Callithrix jacchus: one gene and its partners. The protein of the gene in region 3 purifies or fractionates together with the protein of the main gene of each other region. This does not show direct contact. Links are inferred from orthologs where the notes say so. Each region holds a gene or a part of one and is shown on either strand. Other genes may lie near its edges.

Region 1 (4,115 bases), on a different chromosome or scaffold from region 3:
CAGCCTTGACCTCCAAGGCTAAAGGGATCCTCCCACCTTAGCCTCCTGAGTAGTTGGGACTACAAGCATGCAATACCACACCTGGCTAATTTTTTTTAAGTTTTTTTGTTTTGTTTTTTTTTTTGAAAGAGTCTCGCTCTGTCACCCAAGCTGGAATGCAGTGGTCTCGAACTCCTGACCTCAAGTGATCTGCCTGCCTCAGCTCCCAAACTGCTGGGATTACAGGCATGAGCCACCAGACCCGGCTGCAAGCCCGATTTTCCTAATGTATCCCTCCTTTTCTTTTTTCGAGTGTCTCGCTCTGTCGCCCAGGCTGGAGTGCAGTGGGGCAATCAAGGCTAGTGGAGCCTCAATCTCCTGGCCTCAAGCGATCCTCCGCCTCGGCCTCCAGAAGCGCTATGATCACAGGCGGAAGCCACCGCGACGGTCTGTTTTTTCAATGTTGAGAGGACCACCAGACACAGAACCGCCGACCCTAGATAGGACCCAGCATCCTCACTGCCCTAACCCGCAAGGCTGGCCCGGACAACCCCTAAGGCGGCCGAGGGCGGGCCCTGAGGGGGACGGCGCGCGCCTTGGGGCACAGCTCGTGGCGGTGACGCCGCTCAGGTGGCGGAGAGCTTGGGTATCTCTAAGCAGGTTGCCAAGCCACAGCCGAGACCTCGGATCTCGCCTCGGGGGTCACTTTTCGATTATACAGCGCTTCCTCTCTCCTTCCTCCCTCGGCTCACGCTGCCCCGGCAGACCACAGACGTATAAAAAAGCTCTTCAGTCCTTTCCCGCGCTCGCTTCGGCGCCTACTGAGGCTGCGCGAATTGTGAGGGCGAGACCCAGAGATACCCTCCCCAACTATGCGCGTGCGCCCTCTGCTGGCGCCTAACGGACCTCCGGGTGCGCGTGCGCACGCACCCCAAGCCCCGCCCACAGACTGTCGGCGCGCGAGCCGTTGGCGCTGCTCGCTGCTTTCCCTCTCCCATTTTGGGGCGGGGCCGGGCCGCCGAGTCTGTGGTGGAGGCAGGGGCCACATAATGCCACGCCCCCGTCTCGTCCCCCTTTGAAGCCCCTCGACTCTTTACTGCTGGTCAATCAGAGCCCGTCCTCATATCAGTGCTGGCCAATGGGAGGTACGCTCGGGCTGCTTCCGGCTCCGCGCTACGCTCGCCCCCTCCCCAGGTCTCCCCGCGGCGGGCGGGACTCAGGGGCGAGTGTCGGCCGCGGTGACACGCTGCGGGCCTGGAGCCAATAAGGGGCGGGCTCGGCGCTGATGGACGGGGCTGGTGGCCAGTGGATAGGCGCTAGCTGCACTTCCTGTCGGGGAGAGAGTGTAATATGGCGAAGACCTACGATTACCTGTTCAAGCTGCTGCTGATCGGGGACTCGGGGGTGGGGAAGACCTGTGTCCTGTTCCGCTTCTCCGAGGACGCCTTCAACTCCACGTTTATCTCCACCATAGGTAGCGGGATCCGGGAGTGGCTAGGGGCGCCGGAGGCCCGGGCTGGGCGCGCCCCTGAGGGGCTGGGGCTGAGAAATCTACCCTGCTGGGCGGGCCGAGGGCTCTGAGAGGGTCGAAGGGAGAAGAGCAGCCGCCTGCACCGCCGTTTCGGGGTTCATGGGCCGTGGCGGGGGAGACCAGGTGCCCATTTTGCAGATGGGGTGACTGAGGCTCCCATCCTCAGCCCGCTCGTTAGGGAGTGTTATGTCCTGGGCAGGCGTCTTCGCACCCGTCCTTTCGGTCTGTCCTAGCAGCAGCCCTCGAAGCGGTTCTTTTGCGGTTCCTGTCTTACAGAGGTGGAAACTGAGTCATGAGGAATTGGCTGTGGGAAAAAGACGGTGACATGTCGCCTTAATGAGCAATTGCTATGTGCCAAGTCCTTCACGTGCATTTCCACACTCTAGTTTCGGTGTTTTAAGTGCTGTTATGAGCCCGTCTCACAGATGAGTAATTTGAGGCTCAGGGAGGGCGTGGGACTTATCCAAGGCCACACAGTCTGCAGGTGGTGAGAATGGGATTTAATGGAATTTAATCCTGGCTGTGTCTCACCCCAAAACTCGAGGCTTAGCTCTTCTAGAGAGTTAGCACCACACACCCCTGGCTGATGACAAACTCAGTTAATGCACCTTGGAGCCGGGACTCTAACTCACACCATTCCTCCTCTTCTCTGGAGCATCCAGAGGTTGAGTCCCTCTCCTTGCCATGTTTTCCCCCATAAGTGTATTTTCCTCTAGAAGAAATGATAAGAGGAGTCAGGACCTTTTCCCTGCCTGCCTTTTATCCTGCTCCAGGATGACAGCAATGGCAAGTGACAGTGCTGCCTGCCCTGGGACCTGTCATCCCCAAGAAGATGCAAGATAAAACCCTCAATGAGAAACTAAATCAGCCACTGCCACAGACAGCCTTGACTTCCCTATCAAAGGGCCCAGGACACCGGTTGTCAATTTAGAACAGCTTTTCCCGTAGGGCCAGCCCACATCGTGGTTGAACAAAATTGGCTTGTTGTGATGTCTCAGTTGTGATGTCCACAGAAGTAGAGTTGACCTCTCTCAGCGCCACAGAAGCAGTCCTGGCCCACGATGAAAAGGTTAGACCTGGGAGTAACACCGATCAGAGTGGCCTGTGAGCTCTGCAGCCCTGCTAGGGATGGGGATAGTGAGGGAACGGTCACTAAGTCAAGGAGTTTATTCAAAGTCAAGAAAACATAGAGAATGGCCTTTGCTTTATGTGTGACTTCAACAGAATCGTGTTATCTCCCTAAATCTCATGATAATGTGCCAATTCCATTCTTGCCCCCCTCGAGGAGCTGCACTTTATGAAACAGTTATATGCCAGATGTAAAGTAGAGAGAATTAACTGGAAATCATCATGTCTGGTTCCTAGTTGCTGCTGGCCCTTGAACGTGCACTACCCCTCTCTGACCCCTGCTGTCTTCAGAGCAGGAGTGACGCTGTCTGCCTGGGCTAGTGCCCTGGTGGTTGAGGACTAGAATTAGACAATAAGGGGTTGTCATCACAACCAGAGGCCATCTAGAGAAAACAAATGAATGGCTCCTGTGGTGACAGCTTCCACCCTCTGAAGACAGATGTTTCTGAATTCTTCCCCCTCCCCCACTCCAAGGCCAAGCTTTAGGGTAACCCTTGTGCCCCAGCCAATCAAAAAGTGGCTTTAATTCAGCCTGGACGACAGGGCAAAACCCCATCTCTGCAAAAAATCAAATGAAATTAGCTAGGCATAGTGGCTCACCCATGTAGACCCAGCCACTTAGGAGGCTTAGGTGGGAGGGTGGATTGAGCGCAGGAGGTCAAGGTGCGGTGAGCTCTGATGGCGCCACTGCACTCCAGCCTGGGCAACAGAGCGAGACCCTGTCTCAAAAAAAAAGAATACAACTGTGGGCAGACTGTGGCTTGCATTTACCCAGTTCCCAGTTTCCTAGCCTCAGCACCTTCCCCTCAAACCCCCTCTTTAGAGTTACTTTAAAGCTTTAAAGAGGCCATCTTCCATTTGCAGATGAGGATATGACTTGGTGAAAGTTAACCTAGCAAGGTGACCCCAAGATCCCTCCCTCCCACCCCAGCGTTCCGCTCCTTCCATTTGTAGCCTTCTGTCTTCTAGGAAAGTCTAATTCACCGTGACCTTGAAGTTCAGGCCTCATAATTCTTAGGTCTCATAAAGTTTGCACTTCCTAATTAAATTTGGCGTGTTAATAAAACCCAGCAGGAGTGTAGGGCAGAGCGCTACTGTGGAGCTTAGCCAACCTAACAGTGCTCCTTGATTTTGTGTGTCCCTGTGCACGCATGGCAGGAGGTGGGGTATGCTTTAGGAAGCCTAGGCACACTGGGCTGTCTAATCCTGAAGCAGAATCTCTCAATGCTTAAAGACAATTCCATAAATTAGCCAGACGTGGTGGCACTTGCCTATAGTCCCAGCTACTCGTGAGGCTGAGGCAGGAGAATCGCTTGAACCCAGGGGGCAGAAGTTGCAGTGAGCCGAGATTGTGCCACTGCACTCCAGCCTGGGCAACAGAGCGAGACTGTCTCAAAAAAAAAAAAAAAAAGCGATTCCGTGTTGGCTGAGGGCACCTCTGGGTTTTCTTTATAGACCAAGGATTGAGTGGCTGTTC
Region 2 (4,143 bases), on a different chromosome or scaffold from region 3:
AGGCAAACATTCTTTCACCAGCTCAGAGGCAAAAGTCCAGAAGGGAGCCTGACTGTTTGACTTTTAAGAAACAATGCTGTATAAATATGGCCAATGATAAGTGAAAGTGACAGCTCAGGACTTGGTTCTAGGTGACTTTTACTTTAGCTTGGCAAACTTCAGCTGTCCTGCTTGCTCTCTCTAAAACTCATTTTCTTTCTTTCTTTTTTGGAGACAGAGTCACTCTGTTGCCCAGGTGGGAGTACAGCGGCACAATCTTGGCTCACTGCAACCTCCGCCTCCTGGGTTTAAGCAATTCTCATGCCTCAGCCTCTTGAGTAGCTGGGATTACAAGTGTGCCACAACATCCTGCTAATTTTTTGTATTTTTAATAGAGATGGGGTTTCGACATGTTGGCCAGGCTGGTATCAAACTCCTGAACTCAACTAATCTGGCCACCTCGGCCTCCCAAAGTGTTGGGATTACAGGCATGAGCCATCCTGTCTGGCCTCATTTTCTATTGATTAGTTCCTACTAGTTTTTAATTTCCTCTATCAGAAGAAAAAATTCAATTCAGAGTTGGAAAGTAAAAATATATTTGAAAGTTACCATGAAATAAGAATACTAATGGTCAAAGCCTTATGATTAGAATTTAATCAGTCAATCTGTGATGCTGAGAAGTTCAGTTAACTGTGTCTGAAGTGGAGATGCCAAAGATATGCTCTATTTTATCGGCTGTGTCTATGAAAAATGAAGCACTAAAAGCTCTATCTCCTGAACTCTTCCAGTCCTTTCTTACTGATTCATGACCCCCATTTGCTTTTCTTAGTTGGACATTCCACCCTTCCCTAGTGCTCCCTGCTCCTTACTCAGGTTAAAGAAACTAAGTGTGAGCTAAAGAGCACTTGAAAGAAGTGCAAAGCTGTAACCAAAAATTGCTAAAGAGTACGTTTTCCTTACATTTCTGACTGTGGTTCTCTACAGGAAGAACCAGACCACTGTCATTTGCAGAAGCATTTGCAAACACTTGTCATGATGAAGGCATCGACTTACTGGAAGATATCCTAAGCCTTCTAGGAACAGATGTCATGCCCCTGTGTCACCAAGAGCAGGGCAGTACCAGTCACAGGAGTCACTCACTTATGTTGGACCAAATGCACTGTGACTCCAGCACGGAAACCCTTCCAAAAGTTCTCATTTTTTTTCTTAGGAGACAGACTGACGCCTTCCTCAGGGCCCTCTTCTCTCTGCCTCCTCATCCATCTCCCCAGCGTAATGCTTGAAACACCCTTCTGGAATTGCCCTTCCCACAGGCCTGAGATGTTCTGTGTGCTGCCTGGTTAATGCCTCCCTGACACCCCTGTCTGGGTCAACTTTGTTTCTAACACACTTTCGCAGACCACATTTCTTCAGAACTCTTGCCTGGTTTTAAGTTATTCACTCATTAGTATCACAACTGGATTAATACTGCATTCCCTCAACAGACTGTACGCTCCATGAGAGCAGAGCCGTGTCTCTGCAGTACTTACAGCCCTCCCAGCGTGGTGCCTGCTTCCCTAATGCCATTCCACAGCATTTGTTGCAGGGAAGGAAAGCAGCACGCCCGGACAGATGGAGACAGGACTAATTTGGCTTGAGGTATGTAATTTTGATCTTGAGCCTCTCTCTGGGATTTTAAAACTCCAAATCAAAGTCTTAATCTGAGAAAACTAACATCTGAAAGAGTGATTAGGGACCGGTAAACCTCTATAAATATTCAACCCTGATACAAAGTACAAGTTGTTTATTCTTGCCACGCAAGGCGAGAGACGAGAGAGAGAGAGAGAGAGAGAGAGAGAGAGAGAGAGAGAGAGAGAGGGAGAGGGAGAGGGAGAGAGGAAGGACACAGTATATGCATTGGGAAAGCTTTCGCTTATTCAAAACAATATTTGTCGAGCACCTCCAGGTCTGAGTGCTGCAGGGGAACAAAGATTAAACAGCCAGGACTTTGCTTCCAAGGCGCTTACGGTCTTAAGGAGACAAGAGACAAGACATGTTCATAAATAGCCAAAATGCAACCCAGAAAAGGCTAAAAACCACTGAGAGAGAGGGAGAAATAAACGAAGCAAGAGGTCTCCGGAGGAAGAGCTGAATTCGTCTATCAATAACTCCTCACTGTAATCCCAACGTAAAGCAAGGAATTCCAAACCAGGAAAGGTCAAACTGGAGTGTTTGAGGAGCACAGGCGTCGCCCCAAGCCCTTCACACCGCTCGCTGGGGATAATATCGCAGCTGAAACAGAACATTAAGCTGGCTTTCCAAACCTTCAGTTATTTACATTAGACGGAGGGGAAAACGCTAAGAGTGCAAGCGCGGAGAAAGAGCAGGAGGAAACTTGAAAAGGCGAATCACGCCAGTGCGCTGTGAACAGCCCTGCCCGCGCCCGCACACCCGCTACCCCACCCCGAGCCCCCCGCGGCCCGCGCACCCATCCCCGTCCCAAGCGCCGACACTTGGAGATCCGTCCCCCGGCTCTGGCCGGTGCCACAAAGACCCTCAAGACCCCCACAGCCCAGGCCCTGCCCAGCGTCGCCGACGCCCCCCGAGGCCCGACCCGCGCGCCCGGCCAGCCCGGGCCTCGTACCGTAGGTTTCGGACATGGCCGTCTGCGACATCTTGGAGCGGCGCCGCCTCTCGCCGGGTCACCGGCTGCTCTCGCCCGCGGTCCGCCGGCGTGTCGCGGTGGGGAAGGCCCTGGGGAGGGGGACCGGAGGAGGGAGGGGCCCAACCGGTCCCCACGGCAACCGCCGGCCTCCCAGCGGCTGCAGTCCAGCCGGACTCCGGCTCCGCGCAGGCGCAGGGCCCTCCGCCCTCGGTCCGGCCGCGACCGGGAGGAGGAGGGCTACGCGAGGCCCGCCCCCTCCCCGCCGCCAGCCCGGGCCTGCGTTTGCGCGTGCGCACGGGGAAGCCTGGGCGGGGCGCACGGGGACCTCGGCGCGCGGCGCAAGCACGTGCATGGCCTGGGCCGCCTGGCGGTGTGCGCCCGGGCGGGCCGAGCTGCGGCTGCGGGATCTGGGGGTTGAGCCCGGATTTCCCGCAGGGAAGGTCGGGGAGAGGCGGGCGGTGGGCAGGCTTGGGGTGACAGAGGGCTGAGGACAGTGGGGTCCAGCTGCCGGACAAAGGAGGAAGGTGCCAGCACTGGAGAGGAAAGCAGTCCATTTGCCAAATTGGCCCGTTTCCGTTAAGACGTTGTCCACCTTCATCATCTGTGGCTGTCAGCCAGGAAGAAACTTCCCTGACGGTGTTACTATCGAGGCCAGACTTGGTTAATGTGTAACAAGGAGGCAGCAGGCCCCAGGTGTACGGCCAGAGGCCGCCCTGGGAGTGGGAGGCAGGTTCATTCACCTGTTGGGAAGCTACTAAGCTTTCACTCCCAACTGCCCGACCCTCTTGGGTGGAGCTGAGCGGATGTGGGCGGATCCACAGAAGTGCAAGGTGCCCAGGTGCTGAAGGGTCACCACAAGCCTACAGACAGTAACCTCTCCACATCCCGTATTACAGGATTCTGGGTTACGGCTGAGACGTATCTCTTGGCTCTCAGTTGGGGATGTTTCCAAATTTAGGAATTTTTATTTTTATTTTTTAATAGGGTCTGGCTCTGTCAGCCCAGCCCAGCCAATTCTGCCTCAGCCTCCTGAGTAGCTAGGGTTAGGGGAACACACCACTACACCGTGCTAATTTTTAATTTTTTTGGTAGAGATTGGATCTCACTATGTTGCCCAGGTTGGTCTTGAGCTGGTGAGTTCAAGCATCCTCTCTCCTTGGTCTCCCAAATTGCTGGGATTACAGGCGTGAGTCATCTCACCTGGCTTTGGATAGTTTGGTTTCAGAAGCAAAAGTGAGTTTGAATCCCCTTCTGTGGGAAATGTAGAGATAAACATTTATGGGAAAGAGAATTTTGGTTGATAATTTGGCCCATCTGAGCATGATCAGGGCCACGTAGCGCCTCATAGTTCCCAGCCTTGTTCACAATAGGTAGTTGAATGCTCAAAATATCCTTGGCTTAGTTCCCAAGTGACCTGGGTTGTGTGGAAAATGCCAGTACATACTTTTTTTTTTTTTTTTTTTTTTTTTCCTGAGTCAGTTTGGCTCCATCCTCCACATAAATTGTCATCAGAGCTTCCC
Region 3 (4,170 bases):
GGGTCTTCACAACTTCAACATGTTACAGCTTAACACAATCATTAATCTTCATGATGTGAAATCTTAAGTTATCTATCGAGTAAATTGTTTCTTCGTTTGTTTAAAAACAAAAAAACGTTGTGACAGCACTTAGAAAGGCATTATCCAAAACCTGTGGCTCTTCAGAGATAACCCTGAATTCCTTAGAAAATTCAAGTGCGTGGAATGTTCCATTTCTTTTACACACAGAATGAAGATTTTACTCCTTTATACCAAATCATTTTGTATCTTCTTTATTAGCATTACTATCAGCATCTGTGACTGTGAGCTTGGACTTAACAACTGATACAGTTACAGCACTAAGCAACACAAAACTCCAGCACCTTCTTCACTTCTTTAAAAGTAACAAGTTTCTAGCACTGAAAGTACCTGCCTTTTCTTAGGTTCTTCAATCTCGGGCACTAAGTATAAAGTAAATTTTGAGAAAACTAACTCCAGACACTCAAAAGTTAATTCTAATCTGAGGGCTAACTGGTTTTCTCTTCTTCTACTTTGTAGTCGTCTAATTCCTGGTATCACTACAAGTAAGGATATAAGATTTCTCATTATCGAAATCATCCTGTCATCATTACTCCTATCAATGATGCTAATAATGTGATTGTCCTGGACTGATGTATCAAAGAACATCTCAGAAAACTTAGGAAGGCTCAGAGATTAAAGTTATCACAGCCACAAAACAACAGCAGAAATGGGTCTGATTTCTAGTTAAGTATTCATCCATCATTCATCAAAGAGTTCACATCTCAAATGAAAATTTTTTAAAAGTGCATTCATTATCTTAACTTGTTATATAAAAAGACTGTTTCACCATCTTTGATACAATGTGATGTGAACGAGGCTTGTGGAAGCCTGCATGATGGTGGATTTGCACTCACTTGTCCATGCTCAACTGACCTCATTTGTAAGCAAATCTGAAAGACCATCAACCACCATAGAAAAACAGTGCAACTATCCGGCTCTTACAACATGCTGGCAGCAACGCTACCCATTCCAACGTGCAAAATCCACCACATACTGCTAAGCTCAGCCTGGAATCCCAATCAGGCACTTAGAAAAACACACACACAAAACCTGCAATGGGTAGGGCCTATTCACTTGGCCATCCAACAGTCTTCCAGCTTCTCCAAGACCGTCACAGGATTATTCCTGGACTGGTCAAACATAACAAAGTATTCGGAAAGAATAACCTCTAATAATTGCATATAACTATAAACAGAAAAATGACAGGCCAGAAAAACACCATTCTGATTATTAACAAACCTTTCCTTAAAAAACTGCCAAATAAAAGTTCGAAGGTTTTCTCTTGCCTAGAGACATCGAAAATTATTTGGAGATGTTGCCTGTGGGGGGAAAACTATTAGTTTGATCCTGAGAGATTATAATAAATTTCAAAAATATTGAAGGCTAAGTCTACATTAAATGACTCAGGAATTTGAGGTCAGAGTACATAGGATACACAAGATTCACATCGGTATTCATCTTAATCATGATCAAGCATAATTTCAAATTTCCCCCATAATTTTGTTAAAATATTTTTTCAAATCGAATTTTTTTGCAAGATGAACAGTCATAAAAAAAAAAAAAAAAACAGAAAAAGTACGAACTACAGCGCCTGCCTGCATTATCTGCAGATTATCTGAAGTTCTCTGAGCAGACAGATAATCAGGAAAATCAATATACCACATTATTAGGTACACCTTGTATATTCACGTATCACAATGCATTCTTCATATTATCTTCCAACTCCCTAAAGAAAGCTCCGGAGTACAGAGAACTTGGCCTCTGGCAATCCATCACCAATCCAGTTCTTAGGGAAGAGTCCAGGAGAGACAAAGGAGGCAGGAAACCCACCAAACAAAAGGAGAAGGCGGCGGAGGTCAGGTGCGGGAGCATCTGATATACAAGTTTGGAAAAATCTCAATTTCCATTCTACAGATGCTCAGTCAGTGGAAGCGAGAGTGGCCAGAAGGATTCCGTGATCCTTCTCACGGGGGGGGCGGGAAGGATTAAAAGACTGATTTCTGCGTCTTCTCCAAAAATAGAAGTTGTCAATCCCTGGCAGTTCCGAATCAGTTACTATCCAAGAATTGTCACGAAATGCCGTGCTCGGCTCTGGCAGCCAGACTGACCCGGGGCAGCGGCCGAGGCCGAGTAGGAAACGCCACAGCGAGGCCTGCACCGCCCCTCAGCCTCGGGTGCTCGTCTCCAACCGCGAGAGGTCACCCGCCCAAAGCAGGGCGCTGGCGCCTCGGCCCGGGCGGGTTTCTCCCTCTCCTCCGCTTCCGCAGGCAGCGAGCGCAGCCGCCAGGGCTCGGCCGTTACCCCGCGCCCGAGCCTCGCGGCCCGGGTTCTCCATTTCCCCGCCCGCCCCTCACACTGGGATCCGCCCGCTCGCCCCGGAACGCGGGGCGCCCCCAAGCCGCCCGTGCCCCCAACCCACGACTCCCGTCAGGAAAACTACGGCTGACGGCAGAACCAGACCCCCGAGGACCTGCGACCCGCGGGCCGTGCAGGAGGCAGGGGTGCGCCCACCGTCAGGCCGGTGCCCAGCACGATCACGTCGTACTCCTCATTCATGGCGGGGCAGGCGCGGACGCAGGACCCGAGAAAGGAGAAGGCGCAGGAGCTCCGGGACCACCCTCCGAGGCTGGAAGCGCTCTCGGGCGCGAGGGAAAGAGGAAGAGAGAGGACAGGAAAATGGAGCTGGCGACGAAGGCAGACCGGCCGCCACCTCAGACGGGAACAGAACTAAGCAGGGAGTGGAGGGGTGGGAAGGGAAGGCGGTGACTGAGCCTCCGCAGCCGGGGCGTGGCCTGCAGGCGCCGCGAGGGCCGCCAATCAGGCACTCCCGTAACTCTCACTGGCTACGTGCTTGTCTCTCGCTCAACTTTTTCCTTCCCCGCCTCTCGCGAGAGGAAACGGGTGGAGCGTCACCATTTTGGCTTCCGGTCTCCGTGCAGCTTCTGCCACGGTGGTCCGGGAGGCGGCGCGCGCATTGGGGCGGAGGTGCACGGAACAGCGGGCGGGGACAGGTCCCGGCCACCACGCTCCTGACCCCCGCCGTCGGGGCGGGAGCTCGCACGGTCCAAGGTCCCAGAGCTGGACCGCCGCCCTAGAACTTTGAGCGGGCGCGTGCGGTGTGCACGTGGGCGAGGAACGCGCGCCAGGCCTTCTTTGGGGGTGGCGGCCGCGGTTCCTCCGCGGGGCTGGGTTCGCCGGGGCCCGGAGCCCGCCGGGAAGAGTTCGGAGATCACACGTGTCCTGTTTCCCGCCCTGTATCCTCCCTGTTTGGTGCTTTGCCGGGCGGGTGCCTTAGGAAATTGGGAGGAGGAAAAGCGGCTTCTTTTGAAAAAGTAACCCTTAGATGAGAGTGAAGGCCAGGTTTCATTGGGAAGCCAATCTGCACCTACCGAGGACTGTAACTTAAAGCCGCTGTAAATGTCGTAGCTGGTCTTGGTGTGCAAAGTTTAGGCCGTAAGAAACTGCTCCTTGCTTGCCTTCTACCCGCTCTTCCCTTTTTCTAGAATTCTGTTAGGAATCTAGCTTCAGTGAGGACACAGGTGTAAGCAGACCCCACGAAAGCCTAGGCAGGTGAATTTCCCAAAGGCATTGATACTTGGAAAACCTGTGTTTTCAGCGCGTGATAAATCTGCGTAGTCAGCAAACAATAAAGATTTGGTATTCAAGAATTCAAGTACTTCTCTATGGCAGCTATTCAGAGCATGCCTTGATAGACCGAACTTCATGTTTAAATCATTCCGATTGAAGAAAGAATGAAACAAGTTTTCACAACGTTTCTCACCCATGAGGAAGGTATATTATATTGGACCATGGACCTTTTGGTGGGGGAGGGGAGAAGAAAGCAAAAGTGAAGTTTAAATTTACGTTCAGCCTTAATTTGATTGTGTATATTTGTGACCAAATGAATTAGTGCAAAGTTGGCCATGCAACTGATTATGCAAGTGAGTGTAACTGTTCTATTGGCTAAGTAGATCATGACTAAAGAAGGTCCGTCTGTTGCTGTCTTCAAGTGATCAGGGGGTCATACTACCTCTATTAATGAAATACCCTTTTTAAAAATTTTTCTGAGACACTCTCGCTCTGTCGTCCAGGCTGGAGTGCAGCAGTGCA
Region 4 (4,279 bases), on a different chromosome or scaffold from region 3:
ATGTAGTTTTTACTTTCCTATCCCTGTTTCTTACTTCCCACGTCTCAGCGTTTTTCGCTTTATCAGGCTGAACCAGCTCACCAGGTTCAACTCCTGTGCCAGCACACCTAGACGTGCTTAAGGGATGGATGACCCTGAGAACGGAAGGTCAGCAGCATACACATTGCAACTACGGAAGGCAAGGAGAAAAAGAGCGGTGTAAATAGGATTGATGGGGAGAGAGGTCAGAAGTAGGTAAAACAAATGAAGAGAGAATGCGAGGATGGAGGCTGTGTCGGATTGGGGGTAGGCTTGACCACCTTTCAATTTTTTTTTTTTTTTAATCAGACGAGGTCTCGCTCTGTCGCCAGGCTGGAGTGCAGTGGCAAGATCTCGGCTCACTGCAATCTCTGCCTCCCAGGTTCATGCGATTCTCCTGCCTCAGCCTCCAGAGCAACTGGGACTACAGGCACGTACCAACACGCTCGGCTAATTTTTTGTTTTTTTAGTAGATATGGGGTTTCACCGTGTTAGGATGGTCTCGATCTCCTGAACTCGTGATCCACCCGCCTTGGCCTCCCAAAGTGCTGGGATTACAGGCAAGAGCCACCTCGCCCGGCCCACCTTTCAATTTTCAACCCAGTACGACTCTGGTGGCAGGTAGACGCTCCACGTCCTCTGCGGAGAGCTCTCGGGTTCTCCCGGATTCCTAAAGGCCAGCAAAGGCCTAGAGCAGGTTCTCTGAGCATCGCACATAACCTTCCACTTCGCGGGGTTGTTGTTCCTGCGCCCAGGTGTTCCTCAGCCTTCCTCTCCTCGCCCAGGAAGAGGCTGTGGGGATTACATCATACCAACCCGAGCAGCATGGCCAGGTTTTCCATCTCCAACTCTTGCTCCAGAAGCGAACCGGGATGGAGCGCTCAAGTTTCCCCGTCAGGGTTGGCCCTGGCGGGGGGGAGGGGAGCGGGTGGCACGCCGGGAGGAGTCTCGTTCTAGCAAAGAAGCTATTAAATGACCCAAGGCACGACTTTTTCTCGCATTCACGAGCTCCACCTACACAGGAACACATGGCCACCCAAGCCCGTCGCTGCGCCCAGACCTCCGGCTCAACACACCCGACAAACTCTGTGCAGAGAAACCGCAGCGCGGGCTAGTCGGCGACCCCGGGAAAGGAAAGAGGTGCGCGGTGCGGAAAGCGTGTACCCGAAGGCGCTGCGCCTGCGTAGTGGCTAGGCAGCGACTCCCGAGGGGCGTGCTCGTAACGCCGCGCACCCTATCAGGCGGCCAAAGGGAGCGCGCCGCGGCCTCACCCCCTCTCGCCCCTCCCTTCTCCCCTCTGGGTTTAGCTTCAGACTGAGGCTTGGAGGCCGGAGGGGGCGCTCCACTCTCCACCCAGGCGCGCCCCACGCCCTCTTGTGCGCGTGCGCAGAGGCGGACCGCAAGGCGAGGGCGCGAGGGAAGGGCGGGCGTACGTCCTTGCGTGCGTCTCAGGCAGCGCGCACGCTGGCGTGAGAGGGCACGGGGGAAAGGTGGCTCTGGCCGGGGTGGCTCGGCTTCCTGGGGCTATGTAGCTGAGCCCGTCGACTTGGGGGTTCTTCTTCGCTGTCCTCGCGGCGTGCTAGCGCAGAGTTTCTGCTCCGGGGAGAGACTGTACACACGCCCGCCGCACCTCCTCGACGGCAGAGCAAGCTTGCTCGCCCGTGGGAGCGTCCCGGCCGAGAAACCCTGAGGGGGGAGGGGAGGCCATTTTGTCCCGACCGACTCCCCGGAACCGGGCGGAGCGGCTGGGAGAGGCTGCGGAGCTGCGGTCGCCGCCCTCGGAGGCACTGGACGGAGGCACTGTCTGGGCTTCCTCGAAGCTGTTCGTAGGTCGCCCGCACCCTCTCGAGCTTTCCTTTTTCCCACGCTTCCCCGTCCTCCGGCCTGAGAACGCCCGAGTGAGGAGTTGGCTGTAGTGAGAGGGACCGATCCCTTGGGGCCGCCGGCGGCGAGAGCCCGAGCCGCTCCTCCCAATGGCGAAGAAGACGTACGACCTGCTTTTCAAGCTGCTCCTGATCGGGGACTCGGGAGTGGGGAAGACCTGCGTCCTTTTTCGTTTTTCGGATGATGCCTTCAATACCACCTTTATTTCCACCATAGGTAAGACCTGTGGGAGGACAGTGTACGGTCTCGGTAGCTGCAAACCTTTTATTTTACTCCAGACATCTTGCTTCCCGTGATATACGCCTTTGTTTCGGTGATTCCGATTCCAAACGACAGACCCAAGTTACTGTTTGAATCGGTATGGAGCTTACTGGGGCGGGGTCTTCCATGCTTTCCATCCGGCCTTTTGCTTTCAAGTCTCCCACTATGCTCAGTGCCTTCGGTTACAAAATATGCATCATTTAACCACGTTCCGGAACCTTATTTCTTCAGGACTGGCTTTTTCCACATTTGCGTGGAATTATTAGATGTGTGGTATATGTAAGGTATTTATTTCAGTGGTTGTGATAGAAGCAGTACTAGCTATTTGGGAAAGGCCTGAGTTTATACTCCGGGGCAAAAAGAAGATTCCATATGGTCATAACTTAGAGTAAACTTGAGGGTTTGTGTGTAGAATAATTAAGGCAAATTAGAAGGGAAAAGTGAGTTGTCCTCCTTGACTAATCCATTGATGTGTCAAACAATCGGAGGCCCTTCGCGCTTGGGGTGGGACTCTGGCATATTTGCCTCAGTGCCTTTTGAGACATCAACAGAAACAGTAATCTGAGGGAGATATGATCAGTTTCTGTCCTCAAACCCAACAGAATGAAGTCAAGTTCTCTCTTCTGTTTCGACTGTAGTATTTACAGGAAAGTATTTTGCCAGTCATAGCCCTAAGGACTTCTAATGTACTTTCACCACGTTTCAGAATTACTTAGTGTGGAAGTAAGAGCTAAAGAGTGACCTTTTAAATCGAATTTCCCATTTAGGAAAGGAAAAGGGAAGGCTCTAGGAAAGTCCCTTTTGAATCTGGTTAGAAAATTTAGTGGCGCTGATGCTAATTGTGCTAAATTAATTGTGAAACTCATCCGATCCCCAATACATTTCTTCAAGACACATAGCTGCCTCTGTCACTTGGAGCCCAGCACTCAGCATTGTGGCGGTGTAGTTTAACCCATTTTTAAATGTAATTTTCTATTGAGACGATTTTAAAAAGCAACTGCAGTTGTCTTTGAACTCTGGGAATTGTTAAAATTAAGCTGATTTGAAAGAATTTATAGCGTTACTGAAATAATTTGGTTTGGATTTTTGTGCGTGTGTGACAAATAGCTGCTTCATTCTCACAAAAGAAATTACACTGAAATTAAATTGGACAAGTGGTTTTTTAAAAATAGATTTTTATTTTGCTCACCCTTTTTGGGTGGAAATTACAGTTCTTATTTCCGGAGTATCTTACTGTTCTCTTGGTCTTTCACAAATTTCATGAAACTTAGAACTTGTTCTCTAACTTCTGGGTTAGAGAACACTAGCACTTAGCGCTAGCACTTACAATGCACTAAGTTTGCTTTTAACACTCCACTTTTAGCTGTAGTTGGGTGGGGTTAGGTGATCAGATGGGTCAGCAAATATTTACTGAGCACCTAATGCTTGGCACTATTCTTAGGCACTGGGAATAAGTGGTGAACACAACAGACCCCTCGAAGAGCATTCCAGTGAGGTCAATCATAACAATGTGGAAGGTGCTACAGTAGTAACCATAGGGAGGAGGACTGGCTAGCCTAAATCGTGAGGAGTCTGAGTAGGCTTACATAGAGATGATATCTAAAATGATGAAGTCTGAGGGACTAATAGGAATTGGGTCAGAGGGGTGAGATAAGGCCTTTCTGGAAAAGGGAACATAGAACAAACGTATAGTAAGGTTGAGGATTTAATTCATGTGGTCAACTTTATTTTGAGACAGAATTTCGCTCTGTCACCCAGGCTGGAGTGCAGTGGCATGATCTCAGCTCTCTGCAGCCTCCACTTCAGGGGTTCAAGCAATCCTCCTGCTTCAGCCTCCTGAGTAGCTGAGATTAAAGGTGCCCACCACCGTGCCTGTCTAATTTATGTATTTTTAGTAGAGACTGGGTTTCACCATGTTGGTCAGGCTGGTCTTGAACTCCTGACCTCAAGCAGTCCACCGCCTCAGCCTACTAAAGTGCTGGGATTCCAGGGGTGAGCCACCATGCCCAGCCATGTGGTCACCTTTAACCTGTCATTAGGAACAGTGGTGGATGGAGAGAATTGGAAGCAAAACATTGTCTACTCCAATGTTTTTGTAAAGGGTACATGCCCCCAT
Region 5 (4,085 bases), on a different chromosome or scaffold from region 3:
TGGAAGATAGGGCAGCACAGCTTTTCTACCTAGAATGGTACTGAAACTATGGCTGGTACAGTATCAGTGCTACATTAAACCTTCTTCCCAGCTGAAGAAAAAAATCCAGCACGCCAAATGTATCTTTGCTCAAAGACACTGCAGTGCAACATTAATGGCAGTGACACAGACTACCTCTTGAGTGAACAAAAAATGCCACTAGAGTTGGCCAGGCAAGATGGGTCACACCTGTAATACCAGCACTTTGGGAGGCTGAGGCGGGCAGATCACCTGAGGTCAGGAGTCGAGACCAGCCTGACCAACATAGAGAAACCTCACCTCTACTAAAAATACAAAATTAATTAGGCATGGTGGCGCATGCCTGTAATCCCGGCTACTCAGAAGACTGAGGCAGAAGAACTGCTTGTACCAGCGAGACAGAGGTTGTGGTGAGCTGAGACTGCACCATTGCACACCACTCTGGGCAACAAGAGCGAAATTCCATCTCAAAAAAAAATTAAATAAAATGCCACTAGAGCAAAAGGAGAAACAAGTTGAGTGCTGAAGGTTACTCTTTAAAAGATGAGATTAATTAGAAACTGTAATATTATCTTCTACACTCTCTGGAGAGCAAGCCTTATATACAAATGCTGTTGTTGAAATTAACGAAGTCTTAAAGTTAGCCAGAACACCAGCCTTTGGATTACTACTGATTCATCAGCAGAGAAGAGAAAATAACTCTTTCAAAAAGCCTGGAGTTCTGCCACCAAATCATTCCACAACAGAATTTCTGGCCAAGATCATTCACCTTTTAAAAATTCCTTGAGGACAGGAACCATGCCTATCTCCCTGAGTCAATATCCCGCAATGCCTGATACATTGCTGATACTCAATGAATACTCAAAATACTTCATGAACGAATAAAAAGGTGCCTATCATTACTCTCCTCTAAACTCAAACATCATATAAAGCTACAGTACTTATTACTCACTTAAATATTTTAGGCTGGGTAGCAAAGTTTAAAAAAAAGGACACATTTGAATACAACAGGATTGTGAACACTAAGCTTTAGCTTAGCCAGTCCCTTCAGAAGTACTCCTAACTCACCTTCCAGTTCTTACACTCAAATCTGAACAAACCTTCCCAAGTAAGAAGAGAGAAACACACTAAGAGGAGATTTTATTAATCCATGGATGAGAAATCATGTGCCTCATCAGCTGCTTAAGTCACAAGGAAGAGACAAGAGCCTGTTCTTTAGGAAACTAAAGATGCAGTATTTTCAATAGTAAAGAACCAACTGGCTGGACAGCCATCAACTAAGGTTGTAAGAAAGGTTCACGAAGCAGGCTTGCCAGGCCTACGTGCAAAATTTTTCAAACCTCAATTAAGTACCCTGCCAGTATTCAAGAGCTCCTAATTCGGTGATAGTACACCACAACATGTGTGATAAGTCGCAAATGGCATTTCTTATAGCCTTAAGGTAGAACTGATGAAAGACTTTCGAATGACATCAACAGAAAGAAAGGAGGTGGTGGGAGGCAGTGAGGTACAGATACCAGGTGGCAAAAGATAAACCACAAGCTTTGGGGGCAAGTGAAAGCAGTATAACCTAGAAATTGAATACACTGCTCTGGACTCTGACTGCCTCGGCTTGAAACTCTGCTTCATAACTTATTGGCTGTGTGGCCTTGGTCCAATGACTTAACCTCTCTGTTCTTCAACTTCCCACTGTTAAGTGGGCACAACAGTGGTACTTCAGAGGATTTATGTTTTCTTTCAACAAAGGGTAAACATAATGATCTATTAAAAGGTCTTGCCACGCTGCCTAACATACAATAAACGCTCAAATATTTGCTGTCAGTATTCTCAATATTCCCCTTATGAACCATAGGTAACAAGACTAAAATGAATGCAGAAAGAGGCCCCCAACACGGTCGGAATGGAAACACAACTCTGCATCCAACTACCATCTTTCCTCAAATAAGTTGAAAAACTTACCTCAGGATTTACCGTAACATGCCTATGACAAAAAGCTCCCCGTCTCCCAGCGCCAGAGGCACCTCAATGTACACAAGTACCGAGCCGAGCCCAGCGCACGTGACCTGACTCACTGCCCTGACTCAGTTGCTGTCAGGGAACCTCTCCCACTAACAGGGTCAGGCTGTTCAACTGAAGAGCCGGATGAGAACGCGCGGCTCGGCCCAAGCGCCTGTGACCCATGCCCGCCAGGTGGGCACAGCGGCGGGCGGGGTGGGCTCCGACACCCTCAGTCTCGCCGCGCTAAGGAACTCCACCGGCTAGCGCGTCCTGCCGCGGCGCAGGGCCGCCCAAGTCAGGGAACCCTCTCGGGTCTCTGAGATCGACACCAACAGTAAACAGAGCGTCCGAGACTGGCGGCCGGGGTCGGAAACCCAGCCAGAGGTCACACCCGACGACCTCCGACCTCTCCAAGCCGGGCGGGGTCCGGGCCTGCTCCAGGGACCTGAGCGATGCCGAGTTTCCCCGCGAGGCCAGGGCTGGGCCCGGAGTCTGCCCAGGAGGACAGGGAGGACGCGAGGCCCTGGCGACCGAGGGGCTGAAGAGGGGGATGGGGCCAGGCCGCCGGCCGGGCTGGGCCCGCTGCTTACCGCGGCCGCTGCGCTGGGGGCTCCGGGCCGGGCGCGTAGCGAGGGCTCCCGCCGAGGAGGAGACTCAACGGAGGACAAAAGCGGGGAAGTCCAAGTTCCAGTTCCAGCGAACTATCCTGGGCTCTCCAAGCCGCCAACTCCGCCGCTGCCGCCGCCTCAGGCTTTATGGCCAAGACTCCAAGCCCGCTCCCACTTCCGCCACCGCCACCGCCCCGAGCGGAAGTACCTGTCACGAGACGCTCGACGCCAGGGTGAGGAGGTGGAGCCCCGCCTCAACCTTGCGTCACGTTCCGGCTGCCTCGTGCCTGAGCCTGGGTCACGTGCTACAAACATGTCTGCTCCCAGGAGATAGTCCCCATCTTTGAGGTTCGTACAAGAAGCAGGACGGCGCCATGTTGGACCCGCAGACGGATTCCCTCAGCCATCCGTCCTTACTACAGAATAAAGAATGCCAGCGAAGAGAGGACGAGGGGTAAACTGGCCATTCCAGTTGTGTCCTTCTTCGGAAGGCATCATTTATCCTTACTTTAACCACTTAAGCAAAGATTAGTATCACCATTTTACAAATAAGAAGCTGAGACCCAGCATATCAGGTCACTTGGTCTAGCTCAACACAGAAACTGGTGGAGCAGGGTTTTGAACCAAGGTCTGTCTGATGCCAATGTGTGTTATCGTTCTAGTAGACTGTAAATGACTACAGCAATTGTGTGGCTCGGCGATAGAGACACTTAAAAGAAAGACACTGTCTGGCAGAAGAGACAGCCCACAAAAATGGAAAAATAGCTAAGCCTCTCTGAACTTAGTCTTAAAGAAGATGTGACAAAGATGGACCTAGTAGAACTCTTCTTGCAAGCATGGAGCCGCCTCGCAAGCACCAGCCCCATCTGAACACATCAGGATCCACTCAGAACTTTTGTCCACATCTTCAACAATGCCCTTTCATAGTCATTTTTTATCTTGGTTCATTCAAACTCCATTCTTTCAATTGTTCCATCCAAAAACCTTGCAACTGTTACAGTAGATAAGTAGTCAGACCTGAGCAGGGCAGGAGATGGGCCACTCCCCCACCAGCAATGTGAGGCAACCATCAGGTAGTGGTCAGGTGGTTGTTAAGCTGTCACTCTAAAACAATAAGTGGTTGCAGCCAGACCTGGGGAGAGGCAGTCTCCCAATAGATAGAAACACCCAAAGCTGGCTATCAGCAGCTTCTCGATAAGATCTCAGGAGTTGAAGGGCCTGGGTAAAAAAAAAAAAAAATCTTAGGAGCTAGGCGAGCAGTCTCAAGCCTGAGATGGTACATTGTCTGGGGTTCCCCCTTTTTCAACTAAAATTGGCTCTTTCCCCAAAAACCTCACAATCTATTCTCCTGTTTTCTCTATGTGTATTCTGAAATGGCCTTGCATACCATCTGCCTCTGGAGTAAGTCTACTCTTTCTCTGCTTTCACTTTGCAAGTGCCCAGGTGTTGGAGACCAGCTTG
Region 6 (3,952 bases), on a different chromosome or scaffold from region 3:
TCCACAAAACAAAGAATTAGCCGAAGACAATAAATAATAAAGGATTAACCTGAGTGTAACAGAATGCTGTTTCCCCCCTATATTTGTCATCAGTTAATTGAGAGCCTACTGAAGAGTGATGAATATTACCATCACCGCCAACAGTTCTACGGTGCCTTATGGGTTTCGAAGAGCCTTCACGTTTAGCATTTCATTTAATTTTTCACTAGAATCCTATGAAGCATCTTGTTTCATATCCATTTTACAGTTAAGAAAACTGAGATGTACAGTGCCTGCGTGACTTGTCACAGCGGTTAAGGCGCAGAGCCAAGACTAAATTCAAATCTTATTCTGTAAGTTCCCGTGGCCCGGTTCCTGCCTCACAGGATGCTTGCAGTTTTATGGGGCACAGACCTGTAGCACAAGGCTTCCCAGATTTAAAAATCCATCCTCCTCCGGCATAGGGGAGCGATCAGCGTAGCAGATCCTCTAAATACCCACCGTGTTTGGCTCTGGTCTGTGTGGTTTGAAGAAAGAGGCACGAGTGAGGTTCGAGTTAGCACGGTAACCATTCTTTCCCAGCTCTGTGACTGAGGAGCTGCGGGTGGGGGATTACAGTGGTGCTGGGCATGGCCTGGGAGAGAAGCTGGATGATGCACTCTGCAGATAACCCGTAGGCTGCGCCACAGCAGCGCCAAGAAAAGAAAGCATCTCTGCTCCGGGTCTCCGCGGAAGAGATGCGGGGACTACGGGTTTCTGATTCTGAGGTCCTGGATTTACAAGGCGCCCGCACACAAAGAAATAACAAAGTTCAGTTCCGGCGGCTTGACCAGCAGAGTTCGAAACGAGGTCTCCCTTCCCTGCTCCGGTGGAAACGCCCCCACGCTCTCACCCCGCCCACAGCAGGTCTTTTATCCACTGGAGCCGCCAGGACAGACCGCGCGGGGCACGCCCGAAGCTCCCCGGAGGAACTACAAGTCCCATGAAGCCTCGGAGAGCGGGCAGTGATGACGAAGCCCTCGCAGATTGGCAGTGCAGGGCGGGGCGCGCAGGCTTTCTCCGAGTGGAGGGGCGGGGAGCGGGGCGGGGCGAGCAGCGGCCGATTGACGGGCACGCCCCCTCGCCCGCGGCCCCCTCCCGCCTCTCTCCGCCGCCTCCTCAGGCTCCCCGGTCAGAGGGCCGGAGCGAGAAGATGGCGAAGACGTACGATTATCTGTTCAAGCTGCTGCTGATCGGCGATTCGGGGGTGGGCAAGACCTGCCTTCTGTTCCGCTTCTCAGAGGACGCCTTTAACACCACCTTCATCTCCACCATCGGTGAGGGAGGGGCTGCGGCCCGGGACCGGAGAGAGAATTGGGGGGCGGGTACGAGGGGATGGGAAGCGGGCGGGGGGCGCTTGGGAGCCCGGGAGAGGAGACCCCGGGGACTGCAGGGTGGCTGGGGTACTGAGAGGGGCGAGGGCGTGAGGGAGAGGGGCGAGCGGAGACCTGAGGCAGGGGCGAAGGGGGAACTTGGGGGCAAAGGAAGGGGAAGGGGAACAGAGGAACAAGGAATTGGGGGTTTGGGGGAACGGGAGGGTTCGGAGACAGGGAGGGGTCCTAGAGGGACAAAATGTGTTGGGGGGAAGATGCAGGAAATCTCATGTAGGGAGAGAAGGGGATCGTGGACGCGAAAATGGATTAAAAGACAAGAGAGGAAGGAAATGTGAAAGGGGGAATGAGAGGGACGTGAAGTAAAGGGATAGACGACACCAGGGACAGAGAGGTGAGAGCCAGGCAACTGGAAGGGAATTCAGGGGAATGAGCGGTCGGGAGGCGAGGAAGAAGGGGGACGCTGGTCACAGGAGGTCTGGACAGAGATGTCGTAGGAGGGGCCAGAGGAAAATTGCAGGTGGAAGAAGAGTTCAAGGGACCTTCGGGCGGAATGAGGATACTTGGTGGAGAACGTAAAGGAGAGATGGGTGTGAGACGGAAAGGAAAAGCAGAAGCAACATCGTAGTAAAGGGAGGTTGAGCAGCGAAGACGGAAGATGGAAAAGGGAGGAAATGGAAAGTAGTAGTGTGCAGGACGAGTTCCAGCAACTGATTACCATTTTCTCTTTACTTCCTTTGGGTCAAGTGCAGGAGAAAGCAAAACGTGACTAATGATGGAATTATGTCTATAGAGCGTTAATTTGTTCTGTGATTGTTAACGGATGTTAAGGGAATTGGTGACTTTTGGAAATGGTGTGGTCAGGAAAATATGGTCCACCTTACTACCATCTCCTGAGAAGCAAGTCTTCTCGGTATCTTAAGTCCTTGGGTTTGAATGTTTAACAACTTCTCAGCCAAGGAATTGATCTTACATTCTGCCCACCTCCCGCCTCCCTGTATATTTTGCTTTGATTCTAATTATTGTTAAATGAATCACAACATGTGATATACCTCCCAGTTACTTCCAATTGATTCAAGAGTTTTTCTGATCTTGGCTGGAGCTCTCCTTCCTACTTTTGTACTGAGAGACACTGTGTTCAGGTAAGAAGATCTCTTAACTTACTATAAACTGAAGGGTTTTAAGCTCTTAGAAATGAACACCTTAGCATCATTTTCTCCTGTTAAATAGCTGCGGATTAATTAAGTACCTTAAGAATCTCAGCTTTTGGTTGTCTTGGTGATATTTCTGGCCTCTAATAATAGCTTATTTAGGCGTCTTTCATATGGTTCTTACAGCATATTTCACCATGAATTTCTGGGTTGGGAAATAATAGGGAGCTAGGGCTTTGGTAATACATGTGTTTACATATTTGTGTATTTTAAAGGGTAATTTATCTTTTTGTAAAACAGAGTATTCGATATAGAGCACTCTTTAAGTATTAGAAAAGACTGGGGTTTGTTTGTTCATTCTGGTGTCTTTCATATAGATTGAATGGTCTAAAACCTCCTATGATATCTGGGCTTAGGGAAGTTTGAATTGCAAGTTCTTGGCAGTCAGTCTTGAGTGGGACTTTTTCTTTTCTGAGAAAGCACATTTTAAATGTCATCTCTCAAGTAGATGCCTAAGATTTGGTGGTAGCTGTTGGTACCGCAACTGAAGGGCGTTAAGTTTTAACACATATTAATTACAAAGCCTCAAATCACTGTTTTTCATTGTTGAATGCATACTGCAATACAGATGATAAAGGATAATTTCTAACAAGTTGAGTGGGCGTCCTTTTGTCCATTCTGTGTTTGATCCTCCGAGGAGCATCTCCTGCCTTGAAAGTAAGTGAATCTCACTGATGCTGTTTCTCATAAGTTTCTTGGATGACTTGCTTGTTTGTAATATTTTTATTCATTTTCTCTATTTTTCCTTATTTTTTTGTCCTGTGTTTCCTGTAAGGATGTCTGCTTCCTTTTAAAATAGTAGCTTTTAAAAATTACTTTCATTTTGAAGGATTCAAGTCTGTGAGTCAATTAAAAAAAAATGATGGAAACGAGGCTCTTTGGAGGCTTAATCGCTATGAAGGTGTGAAAAGCAGCGTCCTGAAACAGGTTGGAATAGGAAGTGCTCATTAAAAGGAGGTGAATCGCATGGGAGATCTGGGTCTTTATATTTTCTCTGAGGTGGATGTGGTAAAAAGGCTGTGAGCTGTGTCTTCAGTTGATGTGGAGGAGGGGAAATCCCATAACTCTTATTTAGCCCTGGGGCTCCAACAGGAAGTGGTAGCACACTGTCTTCAGACCGCAGAATTTATATACCTGAAACCTAATGCTCTGCAGTCAAAATTAAGCTGGGAAAATAAGGTGAATGTTAGCACCATTCTGGTTCCTCAGAGTCTTCACTGCTTACAAGTATAGATTTTGGGTGTTCAAATCTCCGGCAGCCACTTCCCCAGGCCTCTCACCTCATTCCCAGGTGATCTGAAGTTGTTGAGGTGACAGTTGGTGGACCAGCTCCTCCCTAGTCATGAAGTACCTAGGTCTGTAAGTTCCTGGGCTCTTCTGACTGGGTTTTGA
Region 7 (4,168 bases), on a different chromosome or scaffold from region 3:
GGATCTCACAATCCTTGGGCTGTGTAGTAGTCACCTTATTTTACAGATGATAAACTCAAGCTGAGGGTTTAAGTCCCTTTTCTAAATTGGAACCAAATCTGGATCCATTAGACCTTTCTGTCTTACAGAACTTAGGACTTTTCTACCATTAAACCGCATTGTAGGATGTCACTGGGATGCTCAGGACCTGAGTCACAGGTCTGACATATGGGCCCAAACATGACAGATGCAGTAGAGCTGGTCAGACCAACCTGGATAAAATGCTTGACCCTTTTATCTCAACACAGCTCACACACGCTTTGCAGCACTCGGAAGGAATTGTGAGCTTTGTACTACCCCAGCCCCAGTATCTCAGTTGTAACCCTGGGGAGAAGTCTTGTTTTCCAAAGGAAAATGAGAGATAGGAAAACCTTAATATAAACCAGTGAGGCCAGCTGGGTGGCCCCAGAAAGAACTGGGTGTCTTGACACCCAATTCACACAGCAGGGAAAGGGGCTGGGTGTGATTCACAGTGCATTGATTTTATTTACAGATCAGAAGCCACTTAAATAATCTGCAGACACAAGTGCTGTCCAGGGCAGAAGCCTGGGGTCCAAATAAGCCCTTATCCCTCCTCATGCCCACAGTCAGCCCAATGCTGCCTCCGTTCCATGGGCCAGCACAGGCAGGTGCCACCTTTGCTGACATGAGGACCTGGGTTAGCTCAGACATTTGACTACCCAAGCCCAGTAAGGAACTGGGTCCAGCCGCTCTGGGGAACTCCTTTAATTCTCCCAGGCCAGGTGAGTGGTGAATCAGTGATGACAACAGCTGTAAAAGTAGGGGTTTGCCTTCTGGCCCAGGTCCACGCCCTTGTCCTCTGTCAAAGAAAGAGGTGGCTGCTCAGCACCATTCTCTTGGGATCAGGTAATTCAGAAAAGAGGCTAGATGCTGTGGGCCTAGAGTAAGTCCATAAAGGCTGGGAAGCACACCTGTCATCACCTGGAAGGCAGCCACACTGACGTAATCCTCTGCCACTTTCTGGAAGAGCTCATCTGGCAGGAAAAATGATGATCAATGAGGGCCCAATGCCAGTAGTCCTGGGATCTCCCAGTGACCCAGCCCTCTGTTCCCTATTCAGCTTCCTCTGGTGCCCCTGCCTGTTCCTGTGTGAGGCCCCAGCACAGCACTCACCCACACTCTGGCCTGTCTTGCTGGATGTTTCAAAGAGCTGAGCTTTGATATCTGTAAAGAGAAGTGACTAAAGCCTCATATCTGAGAATTAGATAAGCAGACAAAAGGGAGGACTAGCAGTTCAGGGAGTCTCCTGGACCCCACAGTTCAAGGAAGCTAGGAAGCCCTTCTAGAGTACCTTGCCCTAGCAGCCAAGGCAGTCCCTATTTTCTGTGATCCACCCAGACAGCCACACACCCCCACCCCCCAAAGGGTGAGGAACAGCTACTGTCTGCATAATCCTGGACGTCATGGAAGTCCACACGTCGACGCCTCCGGTCTTCTTCCAGCAGGTCACTCTTGGTGCCACATAGGTAGATTTGGCAGCCCTGACACACAAGACAAGCGTCACCTCCAAAGACCAACAGAACCCTAGCCCTTGGTCTTCTGGTGAAGTCTATTCACCTACCTCCTCTAGACTGCGCAGTTCCTTCACCCAGAACTTTGCTCGCTCAAAGCTGCTGCTGTCTGTGAGGTCTTGGTGTGGGGCATGCAGGAGACACAACCAAGTGATCAGGGGCTGTTCTCTGGTTAGCCTGGCACCCACTTCTTCTTGTGGGCCAGCCCAGAACTCCCCCTTACCATAGCAGACGATGGCAGCCTTGGCACCCCGATAGTAGATTCTACTCATAGCCTCATAGCGCTCAGAGCCTGCTGTGTCCTAAAGAGGAGGGACAGGCTCAGCCCTGGTCTGAGTCAAACTTAAGGCCATGTTCTCCAGACCCCACTATTTTCCAGATAAGGAAACGGGTCAATGAGAAACGAGTCTGTGAGGCCACAAATCAATCAGTAATAGGCAGGACCTAAGCCTCCTCAAGAATGAGACTCCCTAGAATAGATGCCCAGGGAACTTACCCAAATACCTAATGTCACAGTCCGGTCTCCGACCGACATCACCTTAGCCACGAAGGCGGCCCCGATGGTCTGCAACGAGAGGGAAGAGATTGGGGCCATAGGTGCAGATTACGCCCCCGCCCACCGTGCCTGGCCCCTCTGGGTGCACTCACGTTCTGATAGGGCCCCACCAGAAAGCGATCGTGCACGTAGCGCTCCACCAGGCTCGTCTTGCCCACGTACTCCTTGCCCAGCATCACCACCTTGACGTCTACGCGCTGCCCGCTCATGCTCCCGGGGCCGCTTCAGCCACGTCAGGGTCCTGAGCGGGGACGGGGGCGAACCCGGATCTCCGCTCGGCCCAGGCAGCGCCCAGGCCTCAGACCCCAACCCCAAACGGCGCCAACCAACGATTCGAGACAGCGCGATGGGGTCGAGCTCTGGCCGTGGCCTTGCACTTTCGGCAGCTCCCAGTGTGCCCCCGCTGTTCCGCCCCGGGCGCCGAATATCCTTCGAAGACCCCAAGCCCCGGGGCGGCCTGGGAGCGTGCGGGACAGCGTCCTCAACAGCGCAGCACGCCGCCGTGCAGCTCGCTACTCCGTCATTCGCTCGCCTGCGGGCTTAGACTCAGTTCCGGCTCGAGTACCAATCGAACCTAGGGTCTCCGGCAACCCGGCTTCTACCCGCAGCGCCGCGACTCCCGCGGGAGGGGGCGAGAGGGAGAGGGGGCGGGGCCGCAACGTCACGTGGCGCGAGCGCCGGAAGCGGTGGCTACCGTGTGGCTGCGCCGGAAGTGGCGCGCAGCCGGACAACTCATGGCGGTGGCGGCGGCGGCGGCAGCTGCTAGGGCGCGGTGCGGTGGTGACTGAGCCCCGAGCCTGGCGGAGGGTGTGCGCCGAGCCCCGGCCCGGCCCGGCCCCCGCGTGCCTCCCAGGCTCCGCACCCCTGATGCTGCGTGGGTGCTGAGCCCGCTCCGGCCGGGACGATGGTGAAGTATTTCCTGGGCCAGAGCTTGCTCCGGAGTTCCTGGGACCAAGTGTTCGCCGCCTTCTGGCAGCGGTACCCGAATCCCTATAGGTACGTGGTGTTTGGGAGAGCAAAACCCCACCATCTCGCTATTTGGAGATCAAAGTATGGATAATCCCCGAGTAATGGGACCAGAAAGAAGTTGACATCTAATCCTACGTAGACCTTATCGGGGAAGCGGCCAGGCCAGGCCTGCAAGGTCCTGAAGGGAGGTTGGGCCTGGGTGGTGGTTTACTTGATATCTTAATATAAGGTTCTTTTCTCAGGGTCGTGAGACAAGAAGGGGCGGCAGTAGGGGAGTTGGGAGGGATCTTGGGGTCGGAAATCCTATCCTCTGCTCGTGGCACTTTCCTGAGGTGCAGTAAATCATGAGGTCTATTGCTGCTGGAAGGCCCAGGAATCCAGGTCAGCCAGATGGCGGGAGTTGGAATTTGCCCTGGGATGGGCTCTTAACTCTGGTGTGAACCATAACACATACAACTCTGCAAGGTTACAGGAAGGCCTCTCTGGGCTTGGAGATTCCAAACGGGAATCCCCTCGGGCAGTCTCGGGGCAGGCTCCTGAGTGCCACCTTCACTGACTCCTGCAGCAAACATGTCTTGACGGAAGACATAGTACACCGGGAGGTGACCCCTGACCAGAAACTGCTGTCCCGGCGACTCCTGACCAAGACCAACAGGATGCCTCGCTGGGCCGAGCGACTGTTTCCTGCCAATGTTGCTCACTCGGTGTACATCCTGGAGGACTCTATTGTGGACCCACAGAATCAGACCATGACCACCTTCACCTGGAACATCAACCACGCCCGGCTGATGGTGAGACACCTCCTGCTGTGATCCTGCCTCCCCCACCCCCAAATAGAGCTCTTCAGATACGTGTGTCTAGAGAGCCATGAGGGAGCTTTTGTGGTCTGAGGCAGGTCTGGGTTACTGAGGAGTGACAGCTGTAGAGTATGACCTCACATTTTCTTCTTTTCAGCTGGTCAGCCTCTCTGGACCTGTCTGACGCATTCATACAGTAGGGGAGAGGTACCTCTCTTACTGAGTTGTCCTAAATTCTAAATGCAAAGCACTCCCATCAGGTATATGGCACAGAA

The links.
Region 1: the proteins of GDI2 (region 3) and RAB8A purify together in Homo sapiens (co-immunoprecipitation; 5 studies listed by BioGRID and IntAct, with this or other methods). This does not show direct contact. The link is inferred for Callithrix jacchus from reciprocal best matches to the Homo sapiens genes GDI2 and RAB8A.
Region 2: the proteins of GDI2 (region 3) and RAB4A purify together in Homo sapiens (co-immunoprecipitation; 3 studies listed by BioGRID and IntAct, with this or other methods). This does not show direct contact. The link is inferred for Callithrix jacchus from reciprocal best matches to the Homo sapiens genes GDI2 and RAB4A.
Region 4: the proteins of GDI2 (region 3) and RAB10 purify together in Homo sapiens (co-immunoprecipitation; 3 studies listed by BioGRID and IntAct, with this or other methods). This does not show direct contact. The link is inferred for Callithrix jacchus from reciprocal best matches to the Homo sapiens genes GDI2 and RAB10.
Region 5: the proteins of GDI2 (region 3) and RAB7A purify together in Homo sapiens (affinity purification with mass spectrometry; 3 studies listed by BioGRID and IntAct, with this or other methods). This does not show direct contact. The link is inferred for Callithrix jacchus from reciprocal best matches to the Homo sapiens genes GDI2 and RAB7A.
Region 6: the proteins of GDI2 (region 3) and RAB8B purify together in Homo sapiens (affinity purification with mass spectrometry; 3 studies listed by BioGRID and IntAct, with this or other methods). This does not show direct contact. The link is inferred for Callithrix jacchus from reciprocal best matches to the Homo sapiens genes GDI2 and RAB8B.
Region 7: the proteins of GDI2 (region 3) and RAB24 purify together in Homo sapiens (affinity purification with mass spectrometry; 3 studies listed by BioGRID and IntAct, with this or other methods). This does not show direct contact. The link is inferred for Callithrix jacchus from reciprocal best matches to the Homo sapiens genes GDI2 and RAB24.

What each region holds. Positions count from the first base shown.
Region 1 is NC_133523.1:14,726,577-14,730,691, forward strand, and holds the start of RAB8A (ras-related protein Rab-8A), read left to right. Parts: upstream 1-1,315; 5' UTR 1,316-1,329; coding exon 1,330-1,453; intron 1,454-4,115. UniProt on the Homo sapiens protein: The small GTPases Rab are key regulators of intracellular membrane trafficking, from the formation of transport vesicles to their fusion with membranes.
Region 2 is NC_133520.1:21,262,660-21,266,802, forward strand, and holds the start of RAB4A (ras-related protein Rab-4A), read right to left. Parts: upstream 2,801-4,143; 5' UTR 2,634-2,800; coding exon 2,603-2,633; intron 1-2,602. UniProt on the Homo sapiens protein: The small GTPases Rab are key regulators of intracellular membrane trafficking, from the formation of transport vesicles to their fusion with membranes.
Region 3 is NC_133508.1:7,972,771-7,976,940, reverse strand, and holds the start of GDI2 (rab GDP dissociation inhibitor beta), read right to left. Parts: upstream 2,801-4,170; 5' UTR 2,617-2,800; coding exon 2,572-2,616; intron 2,343-2,571; exon of another isoform or gene 1,933-2,342; coding exon of another isoform or gene 1,891-1,932; exon of another isoform or gene 1,737-1,890; intron 1-1,736. UniProt on the Homo sapiens protein: GDP-dissociation inhibitor preventing the GDP to GTP exchange of most Rab proteins. By keeping these small GTPases in their inactive GDP-bound form regulates intracellular membrane trafficking.
Region 4 is NC_133515.1:88,923,384-88,927,662, forward strand, and holds the start of RAB10 (ras-related protein Rab-10), read left to right. Parts: upstream 1-1,479; 5' UTR 1,480-1,991; coding exon 1,992-2,118; intron 2,119-4,279. UniProt on the Homo sapiens protein: The small GTPases Rab are key regulators of intracellular membrane trafficking, from the formation of transport vesicles to their fusion with membranes.
Region 5 is NC_133516.1:73,420,041-73,424,125, forward strand, and holds the start of RAB7A (ras-related protein Rab-7a), read right to left. Parts: upstream 2,801-4,085; 5' UTR 2,607-2,800; intron 1-2,606.
Region 6 is NC_133509.1:10,007,295-10,011,246, forward strand, and holds the start of RAB8B (ras-related protein Rab-8B), read left to right. Parts: upstream 1-1,152; 5' UTR 1,153-1,171; coding exon 1,172-1,295; intron 1,296-3,952. UniProt on the Homo sapiens protein: The small GTPases Rab are key regulators of intracellular membrane trafficking, from the formation of transport vesicles to their fusion with membranes.
Region 7 is NC_133503.1:68,847,358-68,851,525, reverse strand, and holds RAB24 (ras-related protein Rab-24), read right to left. Parts: upstream 2,761-4,168; 5' UTR 2,337-2,760; coding exon 2,220-2,336; intron 2,137-2,219; coding exon 2,068-2,136; intron 1,874-2,067; coding exon 1,795-1,873; intron 1,690-1,794; coding exon 1,622-1,689; intron 1,542-1,621; coding exon 1,442-1,541; intron 1,225-1,441; coding exon 1,174-1,224; intron 1,035-1,173; coding exon 982-1,034; coding exon of another isoform or gene 972-981; intron 860-971; coding exon 716-859; 3' UTR 501-715; downstream 1-500. Other genes in the region: PRELID1 (PRELI domain-containing protein 1, mitochondrial), read left to right, coding at 3,032-3,123, 3,662-3,887.